Oryzias latipes: one gene and its partner. The protein of the gene in region 2 binds, or shares a complex with, the protein of the main gene of each other region. Links are inferred from orthologs where the notes say so. Each region holds a gene or a part of one and is shown on either strand. Other genes may lie near its edges.

Evidence for each region. Proteins that work in one complex are often made in the same cells at the same time.
Region 1: ubl4a (region 2) and get4 share a complex: the UniProt entries of both Homo sapiens proteins name them as parts of the BAG6/BAT3 complex. The link is inferred for Oryzias latipes from reciprocal best matches to the Homo sapiens genes UBL4A and GET4.

The regions. Positions count from the first base shown.
Region 1 is NC_019877.2:1,619,839-1,623,588, reverse strand, and holds the start of get4 (Golgi to ER traffic protein 4 homolog), read right to left. Parts: upstream 2,784-3,750; 5' UTR 2,301-2,783; intron 2,019-2,300; coding exon of another isoform or gene 2,015-2,018; coding exon 1,940-2,014; intron 1,780-1,939; coding exon 1,698-1,779; intron 1,621-1,697; coding exon 1,471-1,620; intron 424-1,470; coding exon 285-423; intron 1-284. UniProt on the Homo sapiens protein: As part of a cytosolic protein quality control complex, the BAG6/BAT3 complex, maintains misfolded and hydrophobic patches-containing proteins in a soluble state and participates in their proper delivery to the endoplasmic reticulum or alternatively can promote their sorting to the proteasome where they undergo degradation.
Region 2 is NC_019867.2:16,994,980-16,998,729, reverse strand, and holds the start of ubl4a (ubiquitin-like protein 4A), read right to left. Parts: upstream 2,303-3,750; 5' UTR 2,155-2,302; coding exon 2,107-2,154; intron 917-2,106; coding exon 811-916; intron 723-810; coding exon 517-722; intron 321-516; coding exon 213-320; 3' UTR 1-212. Other genes in the region: cGMP-dependent protein kinase 1-like, read left to right, coding at 3,406-3,592, 3,665-3,750. UniProt on the Homo sapiens protein: As part of a cytosolic protein quality control complex, the BAG6/BAT3 complex, maintains misfolded and hydrophobic patches-containing proteins in a soluble state and participates in their proper delivery to the endoplasmic reticulum or alternatively can promote their sorting to the proteasome where they undergo degradation.

The DNA.
Region 1 (3,750 bases), on a different chromosome or scaffold from region 2:
CCGTCAGCGTGATGCGTTCAAATACTCCGTTAAATCAGGATTTATTGTGTGACGTTCACATCCAGATCCTTTGGAGCAAAATTAGCAGAACTGAAAGAGAATTTGTTTTTTTTAAACTATCAGCTGATAATAAAGAAAATATTTTGTTTTTTTCTTTATTTCGCATGAAGTCTTCCAATGTAAATGTATAAAGGAGCATAATCCTCCAATCAAAAGTCTGCAGTTGATTCCAGAAGATCAAGTGAGAATGTTTCATTCAAATGGATCCGTCTGCGTTCACTCACTGTAGGACGGCCTGCGCCACAAACAAGTCCACCTCGTTGCGGTATCCCCGGGACGCCGAGTACTCCACCAGCATCTGAGCACAGCCCTCCCCGTCAGACGAATGCAGGAAGTGATAACGGGACTCGCTGTAGTTTTGTTCTGAAAAGTCAGGAGGAGTCCATGATCCAGAAGCTGACGAATGCTTGAGCTTTCATGTGAAGAAGCCCTCAGATCATTTACAGATACGATCCTCAGACTGAAGCCAGTTCAAGTCCAGCTCTGATCCTCTTTGGATCCATTTTCAAAGCGTTTCCAGAGGGACTGTCACCATGACGACGCCGTTTTTAGCCTAAATCCAAAACCCAGTGTCGTTTTCTAGGACATAATTTCTGCAGAGCGTCAGAAATTCACCTCTGAGTTGTGGTCAGGACTGTCGGTACAGAGCAACCCCACCCCCCTTTCCCTTCTCCTTGCTGAGAGCTCTCTGTTTAAGCTGAGAAGGCAGTTTGTGGCCCCGCCCTGGGTATTAAGGTACATCACAAATACAATCTGTTTCAAACAGCATCTTTATGCCTGCTCCTGATTCACACTGATCTGGATAAAGAAAGACTCAGAAAGGCAATTTTAGGTCCCATTTCCTTCATACACGTCCTCCAACACCCTTTTCGTCAGAGCGGGTCTTTAAAGGACCTTAGTGGGGGGGCCGTCTCCCACTGAAAATAAACTATGTTTTTGAGTTCTTTTTACATTTCAGTAATAACTGTTAAATGGCAGAAATGCCCTGTGGGGGGGGGGGGGGGGCATCAGAAATGTGACAGAACCCTCCAGGTGAGTCCAGTTCTGAGGCTGACTGTGAGGCCCGTCTGGACCCAGAGGGGTTTATAAATGATTATGTGAAAATCTTCACCTGAAACTTTATACAATGATTATCATAACAACCTTCAACTGAGACTATTAAGTATTTCCACAAACACAGATGTTGTTACAAGCTTTTCGTTTTGAACCTTTTGCTCTGTCGGGTGGAAACAAACTGAGAACAGTCGGCGTCGCCCCAGGCCTTCCTGATGAGTCGCAGCACGACTTTCTCAGAAACGGTTCCACCCCTGAGGTTTTCGGACTCGTTTCCACAAATCCAGCTGAGCTCCGACGTGTCAAAGCTCCGTCAGGTGAAGTTTCTTCACAAACAACCACAGAACCACAGCTTACCTTTCCATAAGGTGAGAGCCAGCAGCTGGTGCAGCTTGGGATGGCCCAACTTGCTGGAGCCTCCAGTGGACCACTTCAAGGCCCTGGACACAAACGCCGCTCTCTCCGGAGAGTTCTGGTCCATCAGGCTGAACAGCTTAGCTAAATGTTCTGGTCCAACACAAGATCCACAGTCAAAATCAAGAGTTCTTTGTTGATTATGTGGTCCGGTTTTGGTCTCTACCTACCTAATATTTCGTCCTCAACTTTTGCGTCTGACTTCTCCAAAACCTCCAGCACCAACATGGACAGATCTGCTGCACTGTTTTGCTAAGAAGAAAACGCCACAAACTAGATTTTAGTATCAAAATAAAACTGTCAGTGACACAAATGTCTTTGTAAGCGGGGTGTTCGTTACCCACCAACCTGTGAACTGGCGTTCCCTGAGATAATAGAAATGTAAAGCGGGGCAGAAGTGAATGCGGTTTACCTGGTTGTGGCTGAAGAAGAGCAGAGCGCCGCGGTACATCAGCTCCCGCGCCTCAGCATGTTTAGCCTGAGACATGTACCTGATCAGAGAGGGAAGGGACGACATATGAAGGGTTGGTTTGGTTTTAGTTTGAATGTATAGCGACCTTTTTTAACCTTCCTGTCAGCTCAGAGTGAAGAGAATCAGCAGGACAGAGAAGTTATGAAACTTCACAGCAACATAGGAGGAAGGTTAGCTTGTTTACAATTAAGATAAACCATAAACAACCAAACTGGGGAACTTATAATCGCATTTAAGAGCCTTTAGTTACAAATTTATCAGAGATGACATTGAGGAAACACTTTTATCCAACCGAACTTACAGTTATAAAGATCAGGACACTCTGGCTGCGTGTCTTTCCCAAGGACTCAAAAACTTTCAAGATCACAATCTGAGACAAACTGATTGACAGCCGGCTGTTTACCAGGGGAAGCGGAACCAGCCCCACTAATACTTTACATTTAAAAACAATTTTAAAAAATTAAATAGAATAGACGATACAAACAGGAACAGTTCCAAACCCGAAAATAATAACCACAGCTTTATTTTTTTAACCCGGTGAAGAAGCACGAAATGTGCTACAGCAACATGCTAACACAGCTGGCTAGCTTTAGCAAACCTTTTATAAATAATTACCATCCTGCTACAACAAAGCAGCTGCTGCTTTAAATGTAATTTTAAAACAATTAATATTTCTCAAAAGATAATCAAATTAAACTGCGTTTTTGCCTTAAATTAGTCAAAAAATCTTCTGTCATGAGCTAAATACTAGCGGCGCTGTTCGGAACCTCGCTAGCTAACAGTTAGACTGACAGGACCGTCGACCAATCACATACGGGGAACTACAGAGAAAGGCGGGGCCCTGGTGTGGCGTAACCAATCATAAGCATTCCTGAAAGCAGGGTTGACAGCCGAATGATCTGGAACCGACAGGCCTCGAATCTAAATTACAACTGCCGTTTTAAAAAGAAAAGTCTCACCTAAAAAATAAAGTTCTGTACATTTGATGCGCTTCATAGTAATCTCCTCTTTCCACGCTGGCTCGCAGCTTTCCTTCCACCCTCTGGACGCCTCCGCGGTTTCTAACGCTGGAGCACCTCAGAGACTCCGGATCCGACATGGTCGATCCTTCTCCGCAGCAGCCGCTCCACAGAAGGCGGGGTAATCTGCCCCTCGTTGCTTGCCGTAGCGATATGCGAAGTTAGAGTATTTTTAATTATTTCTGTGTTTCTTGTTATATAATTTCATATTTGCTTACAATCATTTAACACGTTTAAAGAAATATATTTCAAATCAAAATTTTATCGAAGACAGCGAAAAAAGAGTGTTTTTCTCTTAAAACTGACATTTGCTAAGTTTCACATCCAAAACAAAGTTCCAGTTTAAACTCTATCCTTAAGAATTAAAATATGTTGCCACACACTATATAAACAAAAAACTTTTAAATGCATCGAAATAATTTATTTGTCCCCATAATTCATCTAATCCTTTTTTCCCCTTTACTTTTATTCAATAATAATGTGAATGGTTACTTCAAAAACACTAAAAACCAAATCATTTCGTCTTTATAAGACCTCCATGTAGCAGTAAAACGTTTAAAATTTGACTTTACAATGAGAAGGGAACCTCAATTAATCTCTGGTGCATCTGCACTATAATTTATGTTCATAATAAAACTTAATACACAAAGAAACTCAAAATATGAAACTGCAAATTTAGAATACTTCATATGGAAACAAGAGAATTACAGTTTGTAAATCAGATCATTGTTC
Region 2 (3,750 bases):
TCAACAAATGGTGTCAATATTAAAAATAGAAGAGAAAACACACATGAGAAAGCCCTATTGCTGAGATAAACATTAGTCACTGACACAAGTCAGCAATATCAATAATCACTGATTAGGCACACATTGTATTCTCAATGGCCTCACATTTATTTTCCCAAACATGTAGTTTCTCCTAAATCTATTCATACAAAGTAGATTTAGGTTTTCCAATGCTAGTCCATGTAGGAGGTGTCCATGCTCTCGCTGTCAGGGTGAAGCAATCGCACTGCTAGTCGTTCAATGTCATCCAGGCTGAGCTGTCGAAGTGAACGTTCATAGTCCTAAAAACAAACAAAAACAAAGTTTAGTAATAACAAAGAGGAGCTTAACTGTCAAGCTCACAACATGACAAATTATTTTAAATAGTTAAAATAGACATTCGTTTTGTAATATAATTTATATAGTGGGTTTGAAAGGCAGTAACAGAACTTTAACCATTACAACTTTTGGGAAACCATGAATAAAAACTTATCTTACCTTTATAAGCTGTTCATGAACTTTTGCTGCATCTGCTGGACTGAAGTGTCTAGCAAGTATAGTGGACACAGTCTGCCACAGTCCTCCCATGTTCCTGCTGCTGCAGCCAGTCACTGCTGAGGCTGCAGATCTTTCTCCTGCAGGACGGATTACTAGGTTCAATTTAGCCTCTGGTCCAATGGAATAATCACTAAGTCTGTGTTCATCTGAAAGAAAAAAGGGCATACAGAAAGATAAATTATGAACCTGACAAAAGTATAAAGGAAAGAAAAAAAAGTAGTAGGCAAATTTTACCTGCCAGTGCCTTTCCTTTGTAAAGCAGCCGCTGCTGGTTTGCTGGTATGTTGAGTTGCTCAGAAACAAGTTCCTTCACTGTGGAAACCTTTTCATCTTCTGTCACCTGTGGGATAAAAACAAATTCTTAAACTGTAATTTAAACAAGAACAATAGAGTCAACTGGTATAGAAAGACTGCGGGGAAAACAAGTTCTAAGGATGCAATAATAAAAAAAATGAATACATAAAAACAGTATTAAACGGGCAAAATAAATAATTCATTTTATGTAATAAAGTAACAAAGTACCTATTGTGAAAACGTTTTATCAGCTCAAGACAAAAACATTTGTTACAATAATTCAAAACAATTACAAATATATTGTTTATTCAAAGCCTTCGTATTTTTTTCGAAATGTGCCGAAAACTCACTGTCTTGTCTGGGATAAAATTCTCGGCTTAAAATCTAATTCAATAGATGTCTTAAATGGCTTTGTATGACCAATTTTAAGTGCACATGTTTGACTTAATCTGAAGAACAGCCATATATAATGTATAATGTGTAATTACCGCTACACTTTAAAGTTGGCATTAAAGAAAAAAAACATGATCATAAGTACTACGGTACTCAAAATAAGAACAACACAAAACCAAAAAAATGTTTTGGTTAAAAAAAATTATAAATAGAATATATAACTACATAATTAAAAAAGTTAATGAAGTGCTGTGGAGTTTTAAAATGATTACTTTATGTAAATGAAAAATATATACAATTCTAAATTTGTGATAAGAGAAGCAGGTTCATAATGCTGCTTTCATGCAACTGTATGTCTTAACTGATTTGACACAAAGGCACATCCAGGAGCAGCAAATATAACTGCTGAACTGTAAAATAATACCAACACCGTTTTTTGTTTCAACGCGCTGACCAAACAAAGTCCTCTAATACACCGCGGTTCCTTACTCACTTCTCTTTACTGCATTAGCACCAAGTAAGGAGTAACAACAACTTCCACTCAGCTGCTGGGCGTGACCTCAGCGAGAATGATTCAGACAGAAAGAGTTCTTCGTCTTGCATTTCTAAATTAGCTAACATGCTAGCTGCGGTAAAGCTGCTTTAGAACTATAAACGGGTGTGTATATGTACAACCGCATCTTTAGTACTGGTTAGTGTTAGAGTTACAGTCACTAATAAATTAAATTTATGTTCACTTTATTCAAAGCACTTTAAAAAACTTATGATGCTGAGCGGCTAACAGATATACCCGGCTAGCTGATTGTGCAAATTAGCATTATGGAGTTCGATTTTTTAACTAACCTGAACACTGCACTCCTTCCCTTGAAGTGGCTTTACTGTAAGAATCATTTTTCAACACTCTCACTAAAAACAAAAACACACAATAATGTGATTAAAGTCCAGCCAAAAGGGTTACTAAGTTTGCTCGTTATAGCCACACTGGCTGTGGTCCCGTCAGCGTCCCATCTTCTTCTCCTGTTTCCTCTCAACGATGCCACTGCCTCTGTTGCTGACATCAAGTAATGCTGCTGCCGCCTACTGGCATGAAGGATGTACCGCAGCTAAGAAGAAATGACACCACGATTAAAGTTCAATTAAAAGTTTATCGGAACTAAAGTGGTTAGGCGATGATATCCAAATTGATCTCCTAAGCAGGATACTGTGCCAATACACCTGTACACACATGGGTGTTTTTTTTCCTTTGACAGACAAAAAACATGGTGATAAACTTTTGTCATTACATTACATTTGAATAGTAACGTGTTTGTCAATTTGAAAAGAAAATTGGATCCGACTCACCTGTAGATTACTGTTACAATTTACCCATAATTACCTGACCACCTTCTATTGCTTATGTTCAATACACAAAAAGATTTTCACAAAAAATGCGTTTACAGCATTGACATTTTTTTAATGTCCAAAGTCGGGCAGATGCTCGTTCTTTTTTCTTTCCGAAAGCAAAATTTAGTGTCAAATTTTCCCATTAGAACTACTTTCCTCTGACCCAGTTCGGATCCAGCCTGTGCATGTGTCATTCTGTTCCCCCTCCTCGTGGTTGGAGGGAGCCCGCGTCACGTGACCGCCTGTCTGCGCTGTGGGCATTCCTCCTGACCAGCATCCTTCACTTGAGGACGCCAGGCGGACTGCTCACCTACACCGGTGAGTAGCATTTGTGTACCATCCATCAATTAGGTGTTGAAAAAACAATGGATCTGTGGCTGAGTGTAATTAAATTTAAGATGATAAAGACAATTTATCTTTGTTATTGTTTTTTTCTCTTTTGACAATTTTTATATAGCCTACATAAAACCTTGCAGCTTCACATAAAACGTACATAATAAAAAAAAGTATAATTTGTTTACTCTGAAAATGTATTCTTTTTAGTGGGATAAACTTATGATGCACTTGACAATGAATTGTTTTTGCCTTTAACCTGGATGGAAATGTGTGCTACAATTGCAAGGCAGCATTTTGACATAGATAGATATGCATAATATTTTTCATATTTAAGTTTGTGAAATAAAAAATTACAATTTCTTTTTTATTCTCATAGCAACGAGCTGTTTATCTTTGTGCTTTCCTGGCTGATGCCTGCAGATCATGGGTACACTGAGGGACCTCCAGTTTGCTCTGCAACTAAAAATCGAGGAGCTCCGCCAGAGAGACACACTCATAGATGAGTTGGAGCTTGAACTGGATACAAAGGATGAACTCATTCGAAGGCTACAGGAAGAACTGGACCGTTACAGGACCACTGTTTGCCTCTCAGGACCCTCACCCAGTGCAGGTAAAGAGTAGGTCAATCATTTAAAAGTACAGGTTGTAGACGTGACCTAAAAATCTCAATTATTTTTTATAGCTCCTCAAATTGAGGGCATGGAGCGAGCTAAAAAGCACACAGTCATTTCAGAACCCTTCAGCCCGGACCCCGTGACTCTCGCCAGG